Coturnix japonica: one gene and its partner. The protein of the gene in region 1 interacts with the protein of each later gene in a pairwise test. Links are inferred from orthologs where the notes say so. Each region holds a gene or a part of one and is shown on either strand. Other genes may lie near its edges.

The links.
Region 2: the proteins of potassium voltage-gated channel subfamily A member 3-like (region 1) and CAV1 come close enough for resonance energy transfer, tested with the Homo sapiens proteins (2 studies listed by BioGRID). The link is inferred for Coturnix japonica from reciprocal best matches to the Homo sapiens genes KCNA3 and CAV1.

Annotation. Positions count from the first base shown.
Region 1 is NC_029541.1:1,848,128-1,860,718, reverse strand, and holds the start of potassium voltage-gated channel subfamily A member 3-like, read left to right. Parts: upstream 1-6,302; 5' UTR 6,303-6,473; coding exon 6,474-8,216; 3' UTR 8,217-9,668; intron 9,669-12,591.
Region 2 is NC_029516.1:22,495,351-22,507,835, reverse strand, and holds the start of CAV1 (caveolin-1), read left to right. Parts: upstream 1-4,488; 5' UTR 4,489-4,638; coding exon 4,639-4,668; intron 4,669-5,253; coding exon 5,254-5,418; intron 5,419-12,485. UniProt on the Homo sapiens protein: May act as a scaffolding protein within caveolar membranes. Forms a stable heterooligomeric complex with CAV2 that targets to lipid rafts and drives caveolae formation. Mediates the recruitment of CAVIN proteins (CAVIN1/2/3/4) to the caveolae.

The DNA of each region.
Region 1 (12,591 bases):
CATCCTCTCTTGCCTCTGTCGGCACGGAGCTGTTGCTGGGGTTACTGGCACAGGTGGCAGCCATCAGCCCTGCTGCTATCCCCAGGCTGAGCACGCATCCCCAGCTCACCCAATGTAACATAGAAAAGAAAGGAAATGGCAAAACTCTTGATAAGGAACCCCCCCAACCCCCCTCCTCCAATCAGTGTGTTATCATTTGGGGTTTAGAAATGGGGAAATAAGAAGCAAATCACTTTTGCTTTTGCTTCGGATGTTGCACAAGGAGAAAGATTTTGGAGAATAGCTATGTTTATCGCCTGCAGATCCCTTTCATTATGACTCCATCTGCACCTGCCTTGTCAAAACGGTCACTGGTCAACACAAGGAGGGCCACTGCAGCACCCATGGGGCAGGTTGGTGTCACCCCATCGCCCAGCAGTGCCACCCCATCACCTTATGGTGTCCCCCCCATCACCCAGCATCACACCCCTGGGTCCCGATGAGAGGTTTGCTCCCAGCTCATACTCAGTGACTCATCAGCACCCCCTATTTTGGTGTCTTCCTCATTGCCAGCACCCCGTGATGCAGAGGGAATTTCAGAGCGAGTTGAAAGAGCTTCTCAGAAATGGGCTCTGCAAGAAAGGGGGATTCCAAACTTGTGCAGCTCCAAAGTAGGAGACAGAAATAAAATGCAGGGCTCAGCACTGGGTCATTGAACCTTTCCATGATGCTGCACAGGCTCCTGTGGTCCAAATTTCTGCTGGTTTGGGTTTCCCTGCTGGAAATGCAGACAGAACAGCCTTAGGGCAGAAGTGAATTTTTCCTGGATTTGGAACAATGACAATATTAGCACTTAGCTGGGTTGGGCTGGATCCAGGCTCCCCAGTCCTGCTGGGCACAGTGACTGGGATGCCATGGTACTCCCAGTGCAGTGCTTGCATGGAGCTGAGCTCCTCAAGCAGCCTCCATCCTGACACCACAATTCCTCAACTGTGGCTGATCATTCGAGATGTATTTGATATGAATCCCACCCCTCTGAACACAACAACGCAACACATCATTCCCTGTTCATTGCTCCTGGGCTGTGATGATGGCATTTCTACAAGCTCAGAACTGAGGCAGAAGGGACAGGGTGGGCTTCCATCATCCCCATCCCTTCCATCTGTCCCATCACTTCCATCCCTCCCATTGCTCCTTTCCTTTCCATCCCTCCCATCTCTCCCATCCCTCCCATCTCTCCCATCCCTTCTATCCCTCCCATCTCTCCCATCCCTTCTATCCCTCCCATCTCTCCCATCTCTTCTATCTCTCCCATCTCTCCCATCCCTCCCATCTCTCCCATCTCTTCTATCTCTCCCATCTCTCCCATCTCTTCTATCCTTCCCATCTCTCCTACCCTTCCCATCTCTCCTACCCTTCCCATCTCTCCTACCCTTCCCATCTCTCCCATCCCTCCCATCCCTCTCATCCCAGCTCCCCAACACCCATACCAGGGAAAACCAGGCAATTTCCATGACACAATTTGTTTTCCTGAGCACAACTGGCTGAGCAATGGCAGAAAGGTGAAGAGCACACGTTCTGAAAATAAACACTCGAGCCTTTACAAGGGCGCTTTGTAGTGCAGCACTGGCTTGTAGATTCTCCAGTATTTTAGTGCAAACCAAATGGAGCTATTTAAGAACAGATCTGTTTGTGCAGCTGAGCGGGGCTGGGCACCGATTCACCCAAATATCCTGAGTTTCCCCTTGAAAAAATCCACTTGAAATCTTGTTGTGAAGAGAGCGATGCTGTATTTTAGGGCACATCGCTCCAGCTGTGTTTGGATGGAGGGCAGTGGTTGGGCTTGGCTGTCAGAGGGGCTGCTAGAAGAATTATTGCAGCTGTTGGCTTTGCTTGGCATAAGTAGGCTGAAATGCCGCCATGTGCCAACTCGGATGGGGACGAGTGCCACCAAAGCCAAGCAGAAGTGACATTCCTGGAATAAATTATTCAGTGAAGCACAAGGAGTGACTTCTGCTGCCCCAAACGGGGGCTCCTGAGCTCTCATCCAGCTGGGCAATGATGCTCACCCCGCATCCCTCCAGCGCCCACCCTGCATCCCATGGACATCTGCCCATCCGTAATGAAAAGGCAGCGCCGCTGCCGCGCTGTCTCCATGGATTTGTGGTTAAGTTGCTTTGTGGATGTAATCTTATCACCTAATGACCAAATAATGGCATGCAACAGGAGCTGCGTAAGAAGCCGCTGGATATCATTTTGCTGTCATTGTGAAGGCCTTGGAATGTGATCCCCATTAAAGGGGGAATTTGCATTAACATTGTTTGGCCAACATAATCCCGCCCTTTAATCACATTTTTAGGATATTAAAATAGGCCTGACTCTAGCCTGAATTGTAACCCCTTGGTCCCCAAAGGACTGGATGGGATTGAGCTCCTTCAGCTCCATCACAGCCAATGGAGCCACTGTGTGAAGTCAGCAAGCAATGCAGAGGAATCTGGGGGATCTCTGCCCCATTCTTTGATGGCAGAGTTGGGGTCAAGGGATTTCATTTTCACTTACCCCACCCACTGAGAGCAATGACCCCTCTCTGAAGCCACTCTGCCTCTGTTCACTCTATTGCAACAGAGATACCCCCATGTTCCTGCTGCCTGTTGCATTTGTGCTCAGCACCCTGTTCGGGGTTTACCATCCCCACAGCAGTGAGCTTTGCCCATGTGCCAACAGTGAACCAAACTGCAGCAGTCAGAAAGCTCTGAGTTTTATTTCCCATCTCGAGTTTCAGTTTCTCTCTCATTTTTTTTTTGCAACCGCGAGCTGGGCGAAAGGCTGGCGAGGGATTTAAATAGACTGCAGGTGGGAGGCGAGAAGCGTTCTCCTAATGTACAGAGGAGAAACTGAGGCACGGAGAGACTTGAGGCTCTGCTCCTACGCAGCCAGACGGCTGTGGGTGCATCTCAGAGCTGTTGTGCATCTCTGCTATGAGCCCAAAGGCTGCAGGGTGGTCATTCCTGGCCCAGAGGCAGCCCTGTGCCGCTTCATCCCTAATTGCAGAGCCAATAACTGTAATTAAATCAGGGTTAAGCTGATAGGGAAGAACCAGCTGAAGGTTACGGGGTGAGCAAGTGGCTAAACGTGGCTGCAGGAAGAGGAGCAGAGCGTTGGTGCCCATTTGTTTGCTGTAGCTGTGTGTGACTCTGAGTTAATCATGAGAAGTTGGGTTGATGCTGAAGCCTTATTTACAAGCTTCAGCAGTGGGGAGTGACCCGAATGGCACTGTCAGCCTCTAATGTTGGCAGGGAAATAGGGTTCCTATGGATGTGAACAGCAAAGGTAGGGCAAGGTGAGCTCATGGCTCTGGAACGACAGGAGGAGCCACACGAGTGAGTTAATCGTGTCCCCATGAAGCAGCTGGAGCTTTGTGTGTTCCCTGCTGTGAGAGGAGAGACAATACATTTATGGTGCATTAAGGTATTATTGTAACAGCGTTAGCGCTGAAAGGTTTCTGATCCTCAGGAATAAAGAGTAGCAGATTTGTCCCAGATTTATCAATGGAGGCAGGGTTCCCATTCAGACATGAGGGAGGGCAGGGCTCCAACACGTGCTGGCAGCACGGCTGCAGGATGCACAGCTCTTGTGGCAGGCACAAGAGGATGCTTGAGATGGGCAAGGCTTCAAGGCAGGGGACCAAAGGCTGGGAGCAGTGGGGGGTTGGAATAATGGTTCCATACATGGGAGGGGTCTGTAAGGGTTCCTCTATGGTTGTGGGTGAGGTGAAGCTGTGCCCCCTCTGCCCCAAGAAGGCCACGAAAGGAAGAAAGGAGCTGTGCTGGCTCAGCTGCTTTGCAGGAGCTGCAGCTGATGCTGCAGGTCAGCCTGTAGATCATTGCACAGGGGAGTTTCCTGAATGGCTGTTAGGAATCAAATTGAATTTGTCAAGTCCAGATTCAAGATTAGAATTGGACGGAGAAGCAGAGAGGATCTCGCAGGAGGAGGAGGTGGTGGCCATCCTGCATTAAACAGAAAAGCCACAGCCTGGAGGAGCACATTTAGTGCTGTGCTTTGCAGGAAGGTGTTGAGGGCACCGCAGGGGTGTCCCTTCTCATGGACTCCTATCAGCATTGCTGTAACCGTGCTCAGTCTCACCCTGTGACCGTGCTTGTGCCTCTTGGTTTGGGGCACAACATTGCCTTGCTTGACCAGCTGGGGCCAGCGGCAATGGCCCCGCAGCAGCCCTGCCTGCAGCGAGCTGCTGGCCTGGCAGAGCTTAATTAGATTTGATGGGATTAGGTGGAAGCAGCGGAGGGGAAAACAGGGCCAGGAGGCCACGCGGTGCCTGGGGCAGCTGGGCTGGAGCCGCAGATCTCCAGGCTGATCTAAAGCAGCCGGTAGCTGAGGGGTTAATTCCTGCTGCTGCACTGAGCTGATGGGGACAACTCGATCCTGGTTGCAAGGGAAGGGATTTTCCTCTCTGCATCCCAAAGGTACGCAGCTCTCTGCAGAGCTGGCACTGATTTCCAGTGAGTTTCCCCCCCCCCCGACTGAGAGCTGGAGTAAACTGTTGCAGTTATGGAAGTTACGCCTTGTTGCCTCGAGCCTTTTGTCATCAATAAATGTTTATAGTACGAAGCAGCCTTGTTTGTTTGCCTTCGACCAGATGACAGTGATTTACTGGCAGAAATCCTAGCAGAGGAAAGAGATGAGCCAGACAAGTCCTTAAGTAAGTGCTACACACATGTATGGAGGGAGCAGATGATGCTCTGTTGTATGATCATGAAACCCATAGAGAGCAGAGCTCAGATTTTGGATGTGAACTGTCATTTCCAGGAGTGTTTTGCAGCCTTTGAGCAACCAAGTGTGAATGATGTTTGGTTCTCACTCTGTCCAGGTTGGGATAGGTGGGAGGTGCTGAGTGTTGGGTTCTTCTGCTGTTAGTTACAGTAGAAATGATGAGAGGGAGAAGCTGGACTCCTGTTGCCCGACTCCCTCATCATGGGTGATGTGCAGCCACGAGCAGGACGTGAAGCTAAGGATGGAGGTGACCATAAGAACATAAATCCATGCAGGGCAAGGTGCCACGGCCTGGAGATGGGTGTCCCCTGTTGCTGCTGCAGCAACAAGTGTAGTGGCCTCAGCCGCAGCATAGAGCAGTTCTCTATGGTGGGTCCCTCCTTCTGGGCACCTCCACCACTTTTGGGGGCAGAAGGTTTGGGGTTATTTTGCCCCCTACCAGCTCTATCAGCAAAATGAGGAAGGGAAGCTGGGCTAGCTCAGATCTGTTCCCATTTACAGTTTGGGCTCGGCTCCTACAGCAATATTTATTGCTGTTTTCCCCCATAGGTTTGTATATTTTGTACAGCTTGTTTCTAATTTCAAGTATAAATAAGTTTGATCTTTTCATCTGCTTTTTTTTTCCCCCTCTCCCTACCTTCTGGAGGCTGTGCTGGTTAAAAATAACAGCAGCAAGGAGCTGCAGCGGGGCTGATGGTGAGGATTTCACCTCCTCTGCAGTGGGGCTGTCGGGGTGGGATGGGATTGGGATGCCCTTAACACATCCCTGACCCATGTGGTCAATGTGGTCAGGCTCCTTCCCCAGCCAGGAACCCCCTGAGTTCCCAGAGCCTCATGGCTCATGGCTGAGGATAGGAGTGCTCCTGGAGAGTGACCAATAGGGTTTGGGACCTATTGAGGGGAGGGTTGCCCTTGGGTTACCCCTCTGTGCAAGTCTTGTGGGGATGGAGTGATTGCCAGCATTGGGATCCTGCAGGGAAGGCTTTCTGCAGGAAAAACAAAGTCCTGTTTGACCAAAAGTGAACTATTTGTCTGAAAAGACTGATTGAGAAAAGCCTTCCAGCTTCCTTGCAGGAAAGACTGCGACTGCCTGTACTGAGGGCTGAGCCAGCTTCTCTTCTCCATTGATTTTGCTGTGGGGTTGCACACGCACACTCAAGACACACACATGAACACGTGCACTCATGCACACTCATGCACACTGGCTTATGTGCACACACATGAACATACACACATGAATGCACATGCATGCACACAAGCATCCACATATGCACACATGCATGCACATAGGCGTGCAAACACACGTGTATGTGCACATACATAGACACACACACACATACACACACACACACGCCCTGCCTTGCAGGACTCCCCCCGCCGCTCTCAGCCCCAGCAGCCGCCGGCTGTTCCCCGCCCGCAGTCACCCCGCACCCCGGGCACAGCTCGAGCCGCTCCGGGGGCTCCGGGGGTCCCCGAGCCGGGCGGAGCCGGGGGGGGTGGGTTCGGGTAGCGGCGGGGCGAGGCGGTGCCAGCGCTGGGGGCGGACTTTTTGAGCGCAGCCCGGCGCCGCTCAGAGCCGCGGCAGCCGGGAGCGGGGCGGCTGCTTCTCCCTCTCCGCCCCGAGGAGGAGGAAGAGGAGGAAGAAGAGGCTCCGACCGCCGCCTCGCCGCTCCTCTCACCCTTTCCCCCTTCCTCCCCACACCTTTATGGACGAGCGCCGGAGCTTGCTGCACTCTCCTGCCGCCTCCTCCGCCGGCCGGCCCCCCAGCAGCAGCCACCACAACCTGGGCTACACCGAGCAGCCGCCCCCCGGCGCCCCGCAGCCGCTCCCCGGCCACGAGGAGGAAGAGGGCGAGGAGGCGGAGGAAGGCAGCATGACGGTGGTGGGGGGCTCCGGGGACCCTTTGCCGGAGGAACCGCAGCATCCGCACCCATTGCTGGGGGGGGAACGCTACGAGCACCCCGCGCCGCCCGCCGCCGGTCCCGCAGGGCACACCACGGAGGTCAGCGGAGAGCACGAGTGCTGCGAGCGGGTGGTGATCAACATCTCGGGGCTGCGCTTCGAGACTCAGCTCAAAACGTTGGCGCAGTTCCCCGAGACGCTGCTGGGGGACCCCCGCAAAAGGATGCGGTACTTCGACCCCCTGCGCAACGAGTATTTTTTCGACCGGAACCGGCCCAGCTTCGACGCCATCCTCTATTACTACCAGTCGGGAGGGCGCATCCGACGACCCGTCAATGTCCCCATTGATATCTTCTCCGAAGAGATCCGTTTCTACCAGCTGGGGAAGGAGGCCATGGAGCGCTTCCGGGAGGATGAGGGTTTCATCAGAGAAGAGGACAAGCCCCTTCCCCACAACGAGTTTCAGCGCCAGGTCTGGCTCATCTTTGAGTACCCTGAGAGTTCCAGCTCAGCCCGGGCCATCGCCATTGTCTCCGTCTTAGTCATCTTGATCTCCATCGTCATCTTCTGCCTGGAGACTCTGCCTGAGTTCAGAGATGACCACGACTATGAGGGAACCGGGGGGACCTTTGGGACGGGTGGTGGCCCTCTCCCACCTGATGTCTTCACCAATTCCTCGTCCTCGGCCGTTTCCATGGTGTCGTCCTTCACAGACCCTTTCTTTGTGGTGGAGACACTGTGCATCATCTGGTTCTCCTTTGAGCTGCTGGTGCGTTTCTTTGCCTGCCCCAGCAAGGCCACCTTCTCCAAGAACATCATGAACATCATTGACATTGTGGCCATCATCCCCTACTTCATCACCCTGGGCACTGAGATGGCTGAGAGGCAAGGCAATGGCCAGCAAGCCATGTCCTTGGCCATCCTCCGAGTCATCCGCTTGGTGCGGGTCTTCCGGATCTTCAAGCTGTCCCGGCACTCCAAGGGGCTGCAGATCCTGGGTCAGACACTCAAAGCAAGCATGAGGGAGCTAGGTCTCCTCATCTTCTTCCTCTTCATTGGGGTGATCCTCTTCTCCAGTGCTGTCTACTTTGCTGAGGCTGATGACCCTGAGTCTCATTTCACCAGCATCCCTGATGCTTTCTGGTGGGCTGTGGTGACCATGACCACTGTGGGCTATGGGGACATGTACCCCATGACAATTGGGGGCAAGATCGTGGGCTCCTTGTGTGCCATCGCGGGGGTGCTGACCATCGCCCTGCCCGTGCCTGTCATAGTCTCCAATTTCAACTATTTCTACCACCGGGAGACAGAAGGTGAGGAGCAAGCCCAGTACATGCATGTCGGGAGCTGCCAGCACCTTTCGTCTACTGAAGAGATGAGGAAGGCACGCAGCAATTCCACCCTCAGCAAATCTGAGTACATGGTGATAGAGGAGGGGGGAATCAACCACAGTGCATTCAAACAGGCTGCCTTTAAGACAGGCAACTGCACAACCACAAACAATCCCAACTGTGTGAACATCAAAAAGATCTTTACGGATGTTTAATAAACACAGAGCGGCGGCGAAAGCTGAGGACGTGGTTAAAAAAGAATAATAATAATAACAATGATGCAAAAGTGACCGTGTGTACTTGGTGTTGTGTGGAACATGCACCATCGTCCGTCTGTCTGCGCCCTTGTTTTTTATACGTTTATTTTTGTAGATCTTTTGGGGTTTTTTTGTTTCCTTTCTAAAGATCCGAAAGGGATTTAATCTTCTCCAAAGAAAAGAGGACGGTCGATGGGGACGGAGGAGGAGAACGAAGACAAATGGCACCGCTGGAGCAGGTGTCTGTTCTGCAACGTGTTGCGGGGCTGCCTTTGTTTCCTGGCTTTTGGGGACGTCTCGCTTTGCTCCTGGTTTGCTCCCCCCTTCCCTGCAGGCGGTGCGGAGCCCATTTCCCTTCCATCTCATAAGCTCACTTGTTGGATTAACGGCCCCGGATTGGGTGGGGAGATGAGGAAAACATGTTGCCGAGCTCTGGAAGGGGGCTGGGAGGAAACAACCCTTTCATTTCGCACAGTCCCCGTTACCACGTTGTTACACAGCGCTCAGTGCTGGGAGGTGGTGTTCCCTTAGGGACGCACCGCAGATCCCCTTTTCTCCCCCTATAGATCATTCTTGTCTGATCAGAAGCCGAATGCAATCGGTTCAAACTAAAACCCAACCCTCTTATTTTCCACCCTTCCCTTGCAGCCCTGGGCATGATTTCACCCAGCGCAGGGTCTGTGGGTCCGTGTGCTGTGTTGGGCAGAGCGGGATGGGGTGGCTGCATGAGGGCTGTGATTCCGAGCTGCCGAGCTGCAGACAAAGGGATGTTTCCACCTTTTCCACCGCGTCTGGGAGAGATGCAGCTGCTTATGGCAAGGAGATTAAAGTGGTGAGCACGCCTTCCAGCGGAAGTCACTAATTCGGACCGGAGTGATGCAGTTGCTATGGCCACCCTGGTTTCCTGGGAAACCCCAAAAGGTTGTCATGGCATCCCTTCTCCCATCCCCCCCTCGGCCCTCACCCTTCCCTCCAAAGCCCTTCCAGATGGTTCCAGCCCCACCACCCCATGGCTCTGTACCGCACGGGGATCCCATCCTGCACCCCCATCCGTGCCCCATCCTGCAGCCCATCCCCGCAGCCAAACACCCACCCGTAGGCAATAAGCACTCCCCACATCCCCCTCTCCCTCTCAAAGGAGTTCACACCTTGGCGGTGAGATTTGGGAGCCTGCAAATATGAGTGGAGAAAGGACCGCCTTCACCTCACCTGGAGCAAAACCCCAAAGTGTCCTCCAAGGGCAGAAATGAAAGCTCAGCCATGAAAGCTCAGCAGCCTTTGGAAACCATGGGGACAAATGCAGAGCTAGAAAGAGCAAGAATGCAATGTAAGCCCAAAGTCGCCAGGGAAAATGTGCCTCCTTCATCCTTCTGTGCACACCGGGGGCTGCAGGACATCTGATGGGATCAGGTGAGCTTTGCAAGGGGGGGAGAGGTTTTCTTTTGCATCATTGCTTTTTGGAACAAACCTCGTGTTTCCTTCTGCATGGTGTCGTTTTCCAGCTCCCCTTGGTGTGTTTTTTGTGCACTTTGGGTGTCATGGGAAGGCAGCATCCTCTGATTCTTTGTGCTTCTCACTTTGCTGCACACTGAGCTCTGGGTGAGCAGTGCTGGGGTAAAGCTGTGCTGTTCTGTGCAGGGATCTGTCCAAAACTGTGCAAAAAATGAGAGTTGTGTCAGTGTTTTGGTGCTTTGGGTTGGTCCACAGTGGGGCTGGTGGGGCTGTGTTGTGTCCCAGTTGGCTTTGGGGTAAGAACAAAATGATCTGTCAGGTGAGGAGTGCACAGGAATGCCAGCAAAGACAAAGGACACCTGGAGCCCAACCTGGCTGAGTTGTGTGTTTCCTGAGGGGATGGAAGGGAGGTTTTTGACCATGCTGGAATTGGGAATTTTGCTGGGAATTCCCTCAGGCTTTAAAAGGATTGGGACAGTTTGTGTCACATCACGCTGCCCTTCAGCCCCAGCACCCCAACCAGTGAATAAAACACTCCAAACCAACAGGAAACATCCGAGCAGCTTCTTCACTAATGGCATCTGACGGCTTTATTGGAGCTGCAGCAGTTTCCCCAGCAGAGAATCTACCCCAACCATGGTGAGGGCGATGATCTGCAACCACACAGAGCTGACAGCCCCTCACCCTGACAGCATCCCAGAGCACGGGGCAGCAGGGAACCCCAAGGCACCTTCGCCAGCAGGCTGAGCTGTCACAGCCGGCTGCGAGCTTTCCCTTCTGATGGCTATCAAAGCTTTTCTGCATGCCCCATCCTAAAAGAAGGGTTGGAGCTCAGGGCAGTGGGAGCTCAACCCCCTCCTCGCTGAGTTTTATTGTGATATTTTTGCTGTGGCAGCTGCACGGATGGAAACCACACGTGTGCCTGGAAACAGCAGCGCAGGCTTCTTAGTTTCTGTGCCACTTAAATAAGCAAGAAACCACACCGCTCGTTAGTTTGCTTTCCTGGCTGCTTCCCCTCCTCATTCGGTGGGGGCAGAATAGCTTCAAACACATTTTGCTGACAGCAAAAAGCTCTTTATCACAGAGGTGCTAAAGAAGCCGAATCATCCGCCGTAGTTTTTCAGCACTGAATGGCACCGCTGAAAAACGTCAAAGAGCTGAAGGCACGCACAGAAATGGGAGAGGGAGCAGAAAAACGGGGATATCCCTGCTGTGCTCTGCCCCATTTCTGTCTGCTCCTTCCCTCGGTGCTGTCAGTTTCGCTGGGTGCCGTTTGCTCCGTGGTCTGACAGCTCCGCCGGGCGCATCCTGCCAGGAGATGCAAAGTGCTGCCAGACAGCTCCGTGGCAGCCTGCAGGGATGGAGCGCCCTGTGCTGCCTTACAGCTTCCTTCCATGTGTGTTCCTTTGCTGCCTTGCAGCTTCCATCCGTTGTGTGTTCCTCTGCTGCCTTGCAGTGCGCATCAAACCGTGGTGTTGGTGCTGTTGCTCTGGGCGCAGCAGAGCACACCGGGCTGTAAGCTTGTCTCAAAGCAGGTGTCACCCTGGGCTGCTGGTGGCTTTTAGGGTGCCCTATGGTCTCTGTCTCCCCATGGGTGCATCACCTTTGACACAGGAACCCCCCCCCAACCTGCCCTTTCTGCTTGATGCTTTTCTCACTTTTTTTCTCCTGTTTATTTACACTCTTTTGGCCTGGATTCCTCCAAAAAGCTCCATTGCTCCCCAGCACAGCACATGCCCTTCAGGTAGATGGGATCTGTCCTGCTCTGGGGTCACGGAGCAGGGCTGGGGTGTCCCTTTCCTCCTGCAGGGTCAGATTTCTTTAGGCAATTGTTTCTGTTCCATCCCTTGACAAAGGGACAAAGGAAGCTGCTGCTTGTTTTTCATCCCCAATTTAGGAACAGTTTAGTGGGGATGAAGGGCAGAGCAGCAGCTTCCTCAGCAGAAGGGAAGGAGCCCTCACCCATCACTAAGGGGTGTCCCGGCACAGCAGAGCATGGGGTTCTGATGGTGGTTTGTGTGTGCGGAGGGCATTCTGCATGAAATCTGTTTAATTGTGTAGTTTGGAGCCCTCTTCCTGCCAAGCTTTTAAAATATGCATATCTACGTGCAAGCACATCCCAGCCCGACGTGAGGCAGTGCCTTTCTCCATATTTAAATGCTTTAACAGGCTGCAAACCTGTGGTGCAAATGAATGAGGTAGGATTGCACCTGGCAGCGTTCTACCTTTCGGTCTCATGCATTTTGTGTAGGGGAAGGAAAGCTCAGCAATGGCATCCTTGTGCCAAGGCATGTGTGTGGGCAGTGGATGTAGAGGAAGAGGTGTTTTGAGGACATCATGGGATGCCATGGGAGAGCAAATCCTGTGCATTCTTTCACTGCCATGGAGCTGGTGTTCTTCTCTGCACCCTGCTCTGCTCTGGGTCTTCTTCTTTGGGCAGCAAAGTGCAGCTGGGGACATTTGGGTGCTGTGGTTCTGGGGACATTTGGGTGTCCCCTGGTGCTGGGAATCACTCCCCTGGTAGTGGGGATGGGGCTTAACAGCATTTTGGTGAGCTCTGATGTAGGGTTTTCTTAGGGTACGGCATGGAGCTGCGATGCCATTGCATTGCACGGGGCATGTTTGCTCCTGGGGGGAGCCCAGTGGAGCTGCCCCAGTGAGGGCTCTGCAGCTCATAGGACAGAGCCCCAGGCACAACCCAGAGCTTTTTCTCCCATACTTGGCTTCCCAAGCAGGAAAATGAGTAATGTTGCCTCCGTCAATGCGATATTCATCCCTCCTGACGGGACGCGTGTTTGCTGCTCTGTGCTGGAAGGCGTCAGGGCTGCTGTGCTCCTGCTGTTTGTCAGCAGCAGAGAGCAAGCCACATTTTTTGCTCATG
Region 2 (12,485 bases), on another chromosome or scaffold:
CATGGACAACAGGAACTCAATGGGTGCTGGCTCTAAGCTGTGTTTATAGATTTAGGATCCATTTAAATTCCAATTCGATCCTGTTTTTTGTTACTGTAGACCTTACAAACAAGAACTGGAAATTCAGTTCTGTCATGCAAAATGTTTTTGATAGGATGCTTTTTATGGAGCTCACAAGTAACAAACAGAAATAATCCCATTTATCTTCATGGGCTTTTCTCCTTTAACTCACAGGGAAATCCAACCTGCCTCATAGCAAGAACATTTTCCTAAGATCCTTCTCATCTGACTGTAGAATTTGGATATTTGTATCCTACCTTTCCACACCCTACTTGTTCACCACAAAAACTGGCACCAATTCTTAACAGAAACTTTGAGATCTTAGTAAATACATGCCCTTCTCCACCTGCCCAGAAAGCTCACCCTGATGTACACTGACTGAAAAGTTCAGAACATCCCTGCAGCTCTGGGACCTCAGACCACACATTCACATTTAATGGAAGCCAAAGAATGGTCTAAGCCCTTTATTTTTACAGGGTGTGATCTTTTCCCCACCTGCAGAGATAAAACTAAGGCTGTTAAGCTGTATTAACTCCCTTTTAAAAATACAGGGATAACAACATGTTGTTTTTTTTTCTTCAAGCAAATGAATATGGAACACAATGAAATTCTGGATTCTGCTGGCGTTGTCTGTTAGTACACTGTGTTCATGAAGACCTGCAGTGAGCACACACAGCCACCAGTTATGCATTAAAAACTGAGGTGCTTTCTTCATGCAGGGATTTACAGCTGAGGGGTGAATTATTAAGGCTATTTTTAACCAAGTGACACTGATCTTCCAAAGCTTATTTCAACAAAAAGAAAATGTCTTCTGTAGAGGCAATCCAGAAGAGCTAGGATAGGTTCCGGCTCTGAATCATCCTCCTGAGAAGAGTTTTCTGCAGTGATTAATGCAAAATGTTTGTCTTGGCCTGGGTCCCTTCCTCTGCTGCATTAAAAAAAAATAAAAAATTGTTTCCTCTAAAAATTGTGCAGGCCTATGGAAGCAATCTAAGTATCTAAGCAGCAGAACAGGCTCTCCTCCACCTACATCTCTCATAGTCTCCTAGTTTAGATGTTAGGAGGAAATTCTTTAATCAGAGGGTGGTGAGGTGCTGGCACAGCTGCCCAGAGAAGCTGTGGGTGCCCCATCGTTGAGGTTCTCAAGGCCAGGCTGGATGGGGCTGTGGGCAGCCTGAGCTGGGGGGTGGCAACCTGCCCATGGCACAGGGTAGGAATGAAATGGTTTTTAAGGTCCCTTCCAACCCAAACCGTTTTATGATTCTGTAATTCTATGATCTCAGTGACAAAAAATCATATCTTATATAAGCCTCAGGGAGGGGGTGCTTGACTCCTATGAGAGGGAGTAGTTCTCAGATTGCTCTTTCTGCACAATACAGTTAATAACTTGTTAGAACTGGCTGAATGGCACAGAGTAGTGTCGACACCAAGCAGCATTCATGGCCCAGCTCAGTACTGACCAAGAACCTGATATTGAAAAGGGTTGAGAAAAGAGTGACCCAAACTGCTCAAGGTCTGGAAAACTTAACCTTCAGCTGACAGAATTAAGGCTTTCAATCTGTTTTCTGCACCAACCAAGTGGTTACAAGCTACCTTGATTGAGACCTATGGGGACTAGCTATAATAAAATATATATATGCCTAACACAGAATTGATAGGCTTTTAATCCAAAAACTGTAATCCCTGCCCAGATGCCACCCAGCTAGAAACATGTTTAAACTCAGAAGGCACCTCCCTTTCATGTAACCTTCCCTCAGTACCTACAGTTCATGCCTAGAACTGCCCTTGTTTGAGCAACTTGGCATCTCACTCACATCCAAGCCCAATCAGAATCCGAAAGTAAAGGAAGAGAATGCCCTGGTCACCTGAAAATAGACTGACTGCATGTCGGCAGAGCGGGGTACTTCCCAAAATGTGCTTTCCCAGGAGTCCAAATGCATTAACACATCTCAGATAGCAAAAACTGATCTCGGGTCTCTCAGTTGTCAGATTACACTTCTGGCCCTCAGGCTGTTGTGAAATGTGCTGTGGCAGCAGCATCTCCATTTAAAAGGGAATCGCTCATAGCTAGAGGTTATGAGAAGAAAGGAATGTGAGGGCAGCTCACCATCTCTCCTGAGCAAATGTCTCCTCTGACACAAGGAATGGTCCAAGTAACAAAAAAGCATTCAAGAGAGACAGTCCTATATTCTGATATGGGACTGAGGCAAGGGCACCCACATCAGTGAAATAGCTCTGATTCAGTGAGCTGTAATTTAAACCATGGATAGCCTCCAGAGTGGGGACAGAATAACTGTTGTGAGTCTTCTGAGAATGAAAGTCTGTAAGACGTGGAGCGAGGAAAGCACTGTTCTGTGCTTTAAGCCCATTGCGGTGCCTGTTATCAAGCAGCAGGGTAAGCGCTGTATTCAGAGCTGATAAAAGCTCGCTACCAACAGCTCTGGCAGCTCAGGCCTTCAGCCAGCAAACCATCTCCATCCAAAAATGCACATAAAAGGATGTACTTCAGCAGCTGAACAGAAGACACTAAAACCACAGTGATTTTCCCCTCCTAAGCCTTAGGTTTTGAAGCATGCTGCATAAGGAAGGCTGCTCATGGGCAGGCTGTTATCTGACAGCCTCACTGCTGCTGCAGCTGTACATAAAGAATACAGACTCTCAGCTGATCTGATTCCAATCTCTGGCATTGTCATGCAAGTATCAGGAACATCGCAGAGACCATAATTGGAATAATTACACAACTTTAGGGGGAGGAGTGGAGTGAGAGGCAGTGTTTGATACCAGACAAAGACACACAGTGAGCAGCCATACACATTTAGTTCAGCCTTGTGACTCATTTTCTGACAGTATTTTTTGAGGAATTTTTTCCAATCCAATTTTTGCTTTTTGGAAGATACGTTTCCTGCCAGTACTAAGGCTTTTCTTCTCAAAATCAGAAGAACTGCTCCCACCTCGCACACATGTGGCTCTATATTTACAGTCAGTTCTCAATTAAGGCAATTCCAAGGTCTGCAAGTTGAGTTAAAGCAAAGCTTTGGAGAATAAAATGCTTTTAAAATTAGACTTGAAATAAGTAGAGTTGGTGTGATGGAAAAAGAAGAAGGGCAGCGAGGTGGCCAGCTAGTTACCACATAACTCTGCTCAGCAGCTGCCCTGGGCTGCCAACAGTGCAGCAGAGCTCAGTGAGAAGAAGTTTGGTTGGGTGTCTGAGATCTGTGGCAATTTTAGGCCACTCCTGAATAATCCATTCACAGCAGGTAAGAATGGAGCACAGGCTCTGTGCTTTCAGAAGGTTCCTGCAAGCCTTTGCCATGCCCTTTCCACATGAGCTATCCTGCTCCTCTGTACAGCATCACAGCTCTTTGCAGAGCTCCTTCGCTCCTCTGCTGGGATTCATCTCGTGAAGCCTATCAATTCCTCCTGCTCCCAGTATCTCTTTAAACTGTAGCAGTGTTCTATGATTCAGAAACGTCTTCCAAATGGTGCTGAAGTTCTGCAGAAACCATTCCAGGAGTCATTACTGTTTCAAATTAACCAATAAATTTCCTATTTTTAGTCATCCTTGAGACATGCAGTAATACTGAATAAACGGGTCAAGATCTTCCTTTCAGTACTTGAGGGGAGCTTATAAGCAGAAAGGGGATGAAATTTTACTTGGGCTGATAGTGATAGGACAAGGGGAATAGCTGTAAACTACAAGAGGGAAGATTTAGGTTAGATGTTAGAAGGAAATTCTTTACTCAGAGGGCAGTGAGGCGCTGCTACAGCTGCCCAGAGAAGCCGTGGGTGCCCCATCGCTGAGGTTCTCAAGGCCAGGCTGGATGGGGCTGTGGGCAGCCTGAGCTGGGAGGGGGCAGAGAACAGAGCGCAAACACCGGCATCCCACTGCACCTCTCAGAGTGAAGTCCCAGCTGTTAACGTGCATGGCAGACATGGGTCAGCGTCCTCCCAGGAAAAATACAGCACATTTAGCGTGCGGGACTGTCAAATATTTGCATAGTTTTGAAGTGAACCAGTTTAGAAAATCTCTTTTTCTTCAACCCAAAGATGTCCAAGTTTCCACGATCGCTCCCGGGACAGTGCGTGGACCATTGTCAGAGGAGGGGGGGGCTCTACCAACGCAGCACTGCTCGTTTTCCATCTCCTCACCCCTTCACGTCCCCCCATCCCCAGGGGCTCTGCCACACGCGGCCACCGCCGCCCCCCGCATCCCAGCGGCGAGGACCCGCTGCCAGGGGACGGCTCGAGCAGGGCAGGGTGGCCCCGGTTGTTGTGGCTGCGGCTGCTGTCGCTGTCACCGTCGCCGCAGCTTCCCATGCAGCCGGGGCCGCCCGCTCTCCCGCAGGTCTCCGAGGCCGGGTCTCTTTCCCCTCCCACCGCGGGCCGCTCCCGGGCGCGCTGCGCGATGCCGGGCCGTTCCGCCGCTTGTCATCAGCCCCGGCCCGAGGCGGGGAGCAGCTCCTGGCCGGCCGCCAGCCGCCTCCCTTCCCCTGGCCGGCCGCTCCGCCGAACGGGATCCTCCTGCCTCCGCTGCTCAGAGTTAGAGCGCAGAGCAACCTGCGGCAGCGCCGGGACAGCATGTCTGGCACCAAATACGTGGACTCGGAGGTAGGACGAACCGGGGGATGCACTCGGGCTGCTGCCGGCGCTCCGCGGCGCGGCGGGACGGGACGGGACGGGACAGGACGGGGAGCGGGGTTGCGGAAAACGGGACGGGACGGGATGGGACGAGACGTGACAGGACGGGATGAACGGCGGGCAGGGGATTGGGGGCTGCCCCGGGGCTGCAGGGCGAGGCCACGCGGTGAGGGTCACAAACCGAAGGCGGGACACGCGGGGCGCAGCGCGGGGGTTTCCCTCTGCACCGGCTCCGGCTCCGGCGCCGGGGCAGAGCAGCCTCCCGGGGCGGGCTGTTTGTCGGGCGGGTGGCAGCGCTCCGTGCCCGACCCGGGTGGCGCGTGGGGGGCGCGGCGGGGACGCCTGGCGGCGGCCGTGGGAGCGAACGTAGCGTCGGGCGCGGGGTGTGGTGAGAGCCCCGCCGCACCGTTAAATAGCCCGGGCTGCCGACCGCCGCTTCGCACCGCGCTCCCCGCGGGACCGGGGCCGCCCCCAGCCCGCCCTGCCTCCTTCCCTCCTTCCCTCCCTCCATCCCTCCCCGCCGGCTCTGCCCCCCGGCCGCTCTCCCTCCCGCAGGGCTTTCTGTACGCGGCGCCCGTCAGGGAACAGGGCAACATCTACAAGCCCAATAACAAGATGATGGCAGACGAGCTGAGCGAGAAGGCGGTGCACGACGTGCACACCAAGGAGATCGACCTGGTCAACCGAGACCCCAAGCATCTCAACGACGACGTGGTGAAGGTGAGTGGCCGGGCCGGGACGGGACGACCGCTTTCCTCCACCTGCTGCGGGAGGGAGGGAGCAGCTCACGATTTCTTTTCGGCGTTGAAAAGAGAGGGGAGGCTCTGAGCCCGGCTGCCCCGAGCCGTGTGCCCAAGGCTGCGGACCTCGTGCGGGCGGCTCCAGCCGGGCTGAGCAGCGGGATGGGTCGCCCTCGGCCAAGCGGCTGCAGAGGTGGTTTGGGTTCGTTTGCTTGGTTTGGTTTGTGTTCGTTTCCGTGCAGTTTTTCCCTCTGTCGGGAAGTGAGTAAAGGAAGCCAGGCAAAACCGGACGGGGTCCCTTTCTAGAGTCTTTCTTCTGGTGTTTAACTCACTTGGACAGTTTTGACACATGTGGAGTGACGGACACTTTTGCTTGTACTCGCTTTGGTCAGAAAAATCACGAGGCTGAGTTTTCTTTTAGCGGGAGAATTTTATGCTGTTTGTGTGAAAACAGGGACACTGCCACCTGAGCTTACCAGGATCCAGCAAAGCCAAGGGCTGCCCAGTCAGCTGCAGTGAGTGAGAAAGGCACTGGAGTGCTTAGTGCCAGGCATGGGCTCCCTGAGCAATGGGGCTGTAGAGCAGGAAGACCTGGCCTTAAAAAAAGATGAATGTTATATTGTTTCTGGGGGGGGTAAAATGATTGGAAAGCAGTTCCTAAATGTATGTCAGGGGTATGATTTGTGCCATGTGCGGACAATGCAGAAAGGTCTTGAGTAACCTCAAATCCCACTGACTTCTAAGGAGCTTAGAGGTGCTGAGTATGACTGGCCACGTTGCTGGATCAAGAATTGGAATTTGGGCTGTCTATTTTGTTAAGAGGGCCATTGTCCAAGATCTAGAAAGAAAAGGGATGAAGTTTCCATTTGCTTAGGGGGAAAATAATCAACTGTACCACTTCCTAGTGGTACAGAACTTCCATTAAAGTGCTTGCTGTTAGGAAGGAGGGAACAATCCTTTTATCTGCTACCCAGCAGCTGGGTAGCAGGAATGTAGGAGCTGGAGAACAAGGCTTCCTAGTGGCTCATTGCGTACATCAACAGAAGGAGTCCCCAAAGCAACCAAACCTTCCAAGGATGAGTCACAGCCCCTAGGCAGGCCGGAATTTGAGTGTCCAGACTTAGCCTGGGGATAAAGATCCTGCTGGGACAAGATGCAGGCTGCTGGTGGAAAAAACTCCTAATGGACAAAAAAGAAGTGGCATGCAGAGCCTGTCCTGCTTTCTCTGCCTCTTTTAGGAACAATGATTAAGAAAGTTAGCTCGGTAGATTCAATAATCCAAAAGACTTTTAAAGAATAAGAACTTAGGAATGGAAAAATCAAGCTTTTCAGTATGTCCCTCCAAGATAACTGTGGACCATCAAATGTGTTCATCAAGAACCAGCAAGCAGCCAGAATAGCGGTACCATGTCTTGTATCCATGAGTTCCTGGTAGTGCACAGAAGCATATCAAGACACAGTGATGTGCCAGAATAAATGTTAACCACACAGTATCCATTTTGCATCCTAAAAGCAGCGGCATTTTTTGTTCTGTTTTTTTTTTTTTTTTTTTCAAAGCGGACATTTCAAAGCAACATTTTCCCATCTTCTCACAAGGATGAATAAGAATCACTTTGATTTGTTGTAAGCATTTTGTAGGTAGACCCAACCCTACCAATACAGAAAGGAATTTTGCTACACTTTGAGTTTGAACACTTCTTTCAGGTTCAGCTTAGAAGTAGCTGCAAAGTTTAGATCCAGTTCCTAGGGGGCAGACTCTCACTGAGGAGAAGGCAAAGATTCAGTTCCTGCCTCAGCCACTAGTCTATGACCTCTTCCATTATGTTATCTAGAAAGTGTAAAAAATGTACCTGAGTAACAGGCGTCTTGGCGTACTGGAAGACAGAAGAAATCATTCTTTTTTTTTTTTTAAGGCCTGAAGCATGCCCCAGATGTAACTCAGTTTTGTGTAGGGCCATTGCCTTTTTCTAGATTCAGAACCTTCTGCTTTGTAACCAGAGTTTTATGCATTTCTTGCCACTTGACTATGAGACACAATAGCATGGAAAATAGGGACAAATCAGTCAACCATGAAATAGAAATGATTAGACAGAGAATGAGGAATCTGCTCTGTAAGCAGCTCTCTAAAAGGCCTCAGTGTTGGCTGCATTCAAATACTTCCCATAGCACATTTTAAAAATAACACTTGCTTGTAAGAAGCAGCGCATGTTCCCTTGGAGTGCAACACTGAGCATCTGCAGCTTTGTCCACAACAGATAAATGGGGCAGGCAGCAGCAGGGCAACAATCCAGGCAAGAGAGAGAGAGACCTGATCCAGATCCTTTAAAATTGAATTGAAACATTAAATTTTTATTAAATAAATAATAGCAAGTGGACACTAAATGCTCTGTTAGGTTTCTAGAGAGGTGGGGAAAGCAACTGACTCCGTATTCAGAAAGGGTTGAAAATGAGGCTTTACTGACCTTGTGGTGTGAAAGCTGAGGTCCACAGTCAAAGTTGTTGGCAGCTCCGTGCAGGAGGAAGCACAATCTAGTAAAACCACCAGAGTTTCCTTCCTGTTCTAATTCCTTCAGCAGGGAGCGGAAAGGAAGGAGTTTCTTCCTCATATGGCTGCCCTCATGCGTCACTTTGGGATGCCAACAATGTGCAGCGTGGTCCCATTCCTTGAGGCATCAGCTTCTGGAGTTGTCTGTCAAACAGAAAGCAGAATAGGAATTTAGCAAGGGAGAAGTATCCTCTGTGCACCTGGGAACTCTCTGAGAGAGATTTTGATTATTATACAGCTATTTCCCTCAAAGTTATATCTATTTCGTACAGCAGATTCCAGTCCATTCTTCTATTCCACAGCTTGTTTATGTGCATTGAGATGGAACCAGCAGAATAGAAATATTATTGGTTTGTGGTTTTGGTTTTTTTTCTCCTGTTTATCATTCCCTCCCCCATTGATCTAGGCCTCACATAAAGTTGCCTGAAGTTCTCTTTCACGTCTTGCACAGTCTTTGCTCTTCCTGTTTTCCAATGCAATATTTGTGTTTTCCAAATTGTGGCTGAAATTACAGCCTTCCAACTCTTTGCAGTTCAAAGTTTTTCAAAGTATCTGTGGCCAACTCTGCAGAGTTTGTTGAATTAGGAGGAAACATAGAAGGCTGCTTTCCTGCAGCCCTTGGAGAGGCTGGCGTGTGCTTTTCAGCACTTCCTCACTCCTTGCTCAGGGTAGAAATGGACCAGGCACCCAACCCAGCAAACTCTACTCCTTCTGGACTAGTGAAGATCCAACATGTAGTCACATCTGATTGCAGTTCTTTCCTGTAGTGTTGTACTAGGGTACTGCTGTACCATCCTGAACATAATTACTGTTTTGTTTCTAACAAATGGCATCTATCTGCTGCTGTTGTGTAAGCACCCTTTTCTCTGGAAAAATATAAAATGAAATAAAAAATCCAGAGCTTGGCTACAGATGTAGCAATGTGGAACTTTTGTATCAAGTTTTAAACAGCCCTGTTCCTGCCTTCTTTCTTAAAGCCAATGCAGTTACGGGCAGCTTTGCTCGCTGTAAGGCTGGGTTGGAATTTTTAGTCAGATCTTGACAAATACCACAACACCATGATGTAGGCATTAGTGAGCACAGTGCTGCTCAGCCATTCTGAGCCATGCTTAAAGCAATTTATGATTTCTACAACTTTCTTATAAAGTAATAATAATAAAAACAATTTGCAATTTTATTTACTTAATCCTTCACAGATGTGGTCACTCACTGTTGTGCTGAGCACAGTGCTCAGAAAACTGACTAGTCCGCACCTCACACATCCAGGCCTGGGAGCCTACTGGAAGGAAAGTGGGTGCTGTCCCCATTGCATTTGCTGAGGTAGGAAGGGTAAGGCACTGAGGGCTGTCTCTGGTGTGACAGCATGGAGAACAGAGCTCCTGCCCTTCAGATAGCTGAGCACTCTTTAGAGGAAGATTGGCGTATGTGTAGGCCTAACCATAGGATAGCATGAGTGGTTCTCCCAGAGTGTGTGTCTCTCTCCACTTGGTGATAAGTGCAGCTGCAATATGTCACAGATGCATTCAAAGGAGATAACTGTGAAACTTTGCACCTCTACTAATGGCCAACTGTGGGTTTCAGATTTTAAAATGCAGCACTATTCCAGTGTTTTGTTATCTGCATGATACAGTTCTGTTCCAGCTATTCCCTCCAAGGTTAGTGTAGGATTCAGAGATTAAAACTCAAATTGTTACAAAGGCCAGTTTGTGGGGGTACTGAGTGAGGGCTGAGAATTCTGAAACGGATTACTTGCACAGGAACTAGAAGTTTCCAGACTGAAACACACGGGATGTTTGTATATCCATAATATTACAGATAGCGATTGAATTTGCTCTAAACAAGTCTCAAATCCCAAACAAAAGCGTTTGTCTTTGAGATTATAGTATTATTAAAGCCTTGTGTATTGCATTCTTAACGTGATGAACATGACTCATAACTCCATGTTCACTTGATGACAATGAGGAAAGAGCCAACTATTCAACATAGGTTTTCCTTTTGTTAGAGTTTATTATACACTACCTCAGATTCAGAGAAGACAAATATTTTATCTTTCTGTCAGATGCAACGCAATCCAGATTATATGTTAGAAAATATAAGAAGAATTTGAATCCATTTTAGAATTTTTAACACAATATATGGATAGAAACACCATCTCCATTGCAGAAGGTAAGGGTGTCTAATACTGAGAAAAGTACTGAAATCTAAAACTCTCCAGTGCGAACAGGGAAAATGTGTGTGACAAAGTGGCTTTTCCATTGGATCCCCAATAAGAATTTGATCTTTGGTGTATTTTAAGCAATAGAGAGAAAAAAAATATAAACAAAGGCGGTTGAATCAATATAATTTGAGATGTTTGGAAAGCAGAAGAGAAATACAGCTGTAAACTAAGGTTTCTGTTTCCCACTGTCCTCAAATATCTTTGTAATAAATAAACAGTGGGATGAAATCTACATCAGCAAGTTACTTTTTTGAGCTATTTGATCTAGAACTGCCATTTACCTTTTCCTGATATTTTTAATTAAAAAAAAAATTGTAGAACTAAAGAGATTTTATTTCCTTCTTTGAAGATAAGTTACGCCATTAGGTTTATTTAATTGCTTGGAGGGCCAGGGTTAACCCTGCAAGAATCTGTAATTTTTCTAAGAAATTTCTTATGAAAATACTTTTTAATAGTTTCAAAATTAACTTCTAATCTTATGCTATGTTATTCTTGTCAAAGTTATGACATCAGTTTAGTATTTAACAGGATATAATCTCAGTACCACTATGCCCACTCTAGTGAATACATCAGATGAAGTTTGCACCCCGCTTTATTCATGATTGACAAGGAGTTATGCTATAGATGCTAGTGGAGCTGTTCAGTGAGGCATGCCTATATTCTACTCACCCGACTCATGTACTTCCATTTCAAATAAATGGGAACTGTTAAACTCAGCTTCTCAAATAAGAAATGAGAAGATGATACTGCTGCAGCTAAAGGTGGAAACATCACATTCCCTGCCCAAAATCCTGCTGTGCTGAACTTAACTCAGAGTTTCCAAGAAGCCAACAGAGCCTCATAGAAGGGCTGCAGCACTTCCTCTGTAAGCTCTAAAACACCTCAGGACTGAAACAGATAGTATAGAAACATATTCACATTTCCCTCAAGTTAATGTCTCCTGTAGACTTCAGTCTCAAAGTCTCCTATCATTTTAGGAAATTCAGTTTCATTTATCTCTTTTCCAGTGCAGTTTATGATAAGACTTTAACAGTAGATCAGCGAAATCTTGATCTTTATGAAATAGTAAATAAATAAATAGTTGTCTCATAATGAAGCGTCAGTAACTTAAGATCTTCCAGTACAAAGAGAATGTTCTAGCAGTAGAAACGCAGAGGCCAGTCTCTTTGGCAGTAACACAGAGTTAGCTGGGCACACTGCATGCTCACTGTCAGCAGTAAGCAATCCAGACAGAAATGAGGGAAGTGGACAGGTCACAAAGATGTGCTAAAATAATTGCAGCAATTAGCAGGAATTTGTATGTGCATAGTATACACAGCTAAGAGTCACATTAGACTCCCTTAAAAATGAGAAAAAGAAAAAAAAATCAATACTAGATATAAGTACACTAATGCAGGTTCCTGTCTCTCTCCATGTGCTACTAAGAAGTCTGAGGTCACTGTAGTTCCATTTCCCATTAGTGTCCATAGAAGGACATCAGGTCTGTGAAACCACCAACACAAAGCATCATAATCATTTAAAAATTTGTTTGGAGGACACCTGTTCTTTTATTAACGTTTCTGAATCCTGGTTAAATCCAGATCCCAGAAGAATCAATAAAAAGCTCTCATTATTTTTAGTCTCATCCAAATTCCACCTTGCTGTTCATATTGATGCATATGTATCCTTAAACATATAAACACGAACAAACATATGAACATGCACGTACACAGAGACATATCAGAGTTCTTTACTAAAGTAGCAGCATCAGATGAGGTGAAACTGTGCAACATGAAACATAATAAAATGAAGAAAGCTTTGTAAGAGTTCCATTTGTGGAAAATTGCAACCACCCTCCAGCAGCTCAGTTTCCAGGGATGAAAACAGCCACTTCGTTTTCTGCTCACTGACAGCACCAAACTGTTTTTTATGGAACTGACTGATGTGATATCCCCACCTGCACAGGAAGCTTAACTGTGTTTCCGCGGAATGCAGATGTCTCCTTGAAGCTGCTGTTCTTTCCTTCTGCTGGACTATACTAAGAAGCACAGGCAGTGAGGTCTCTGGAGGATGCCTCCTTGCTTCAGTGCTGACCCACTGCCACAGCATCATTTTTCCCATGAATACTTCCACGGATTTAGATGGGCCTGTCTGTGAAGACAGAGCCCATCACAAAGGCTTTCTTGGTATGTGATCAGTAATTCAGCATGTTCAAGGCTTGTTGTCTTGGTAATTATCACCAAATTTTGGCAGTTGTCATCGATTTTCAGGTTGTGAAGTTGTGATCTTGCAGTCATGACTCTTT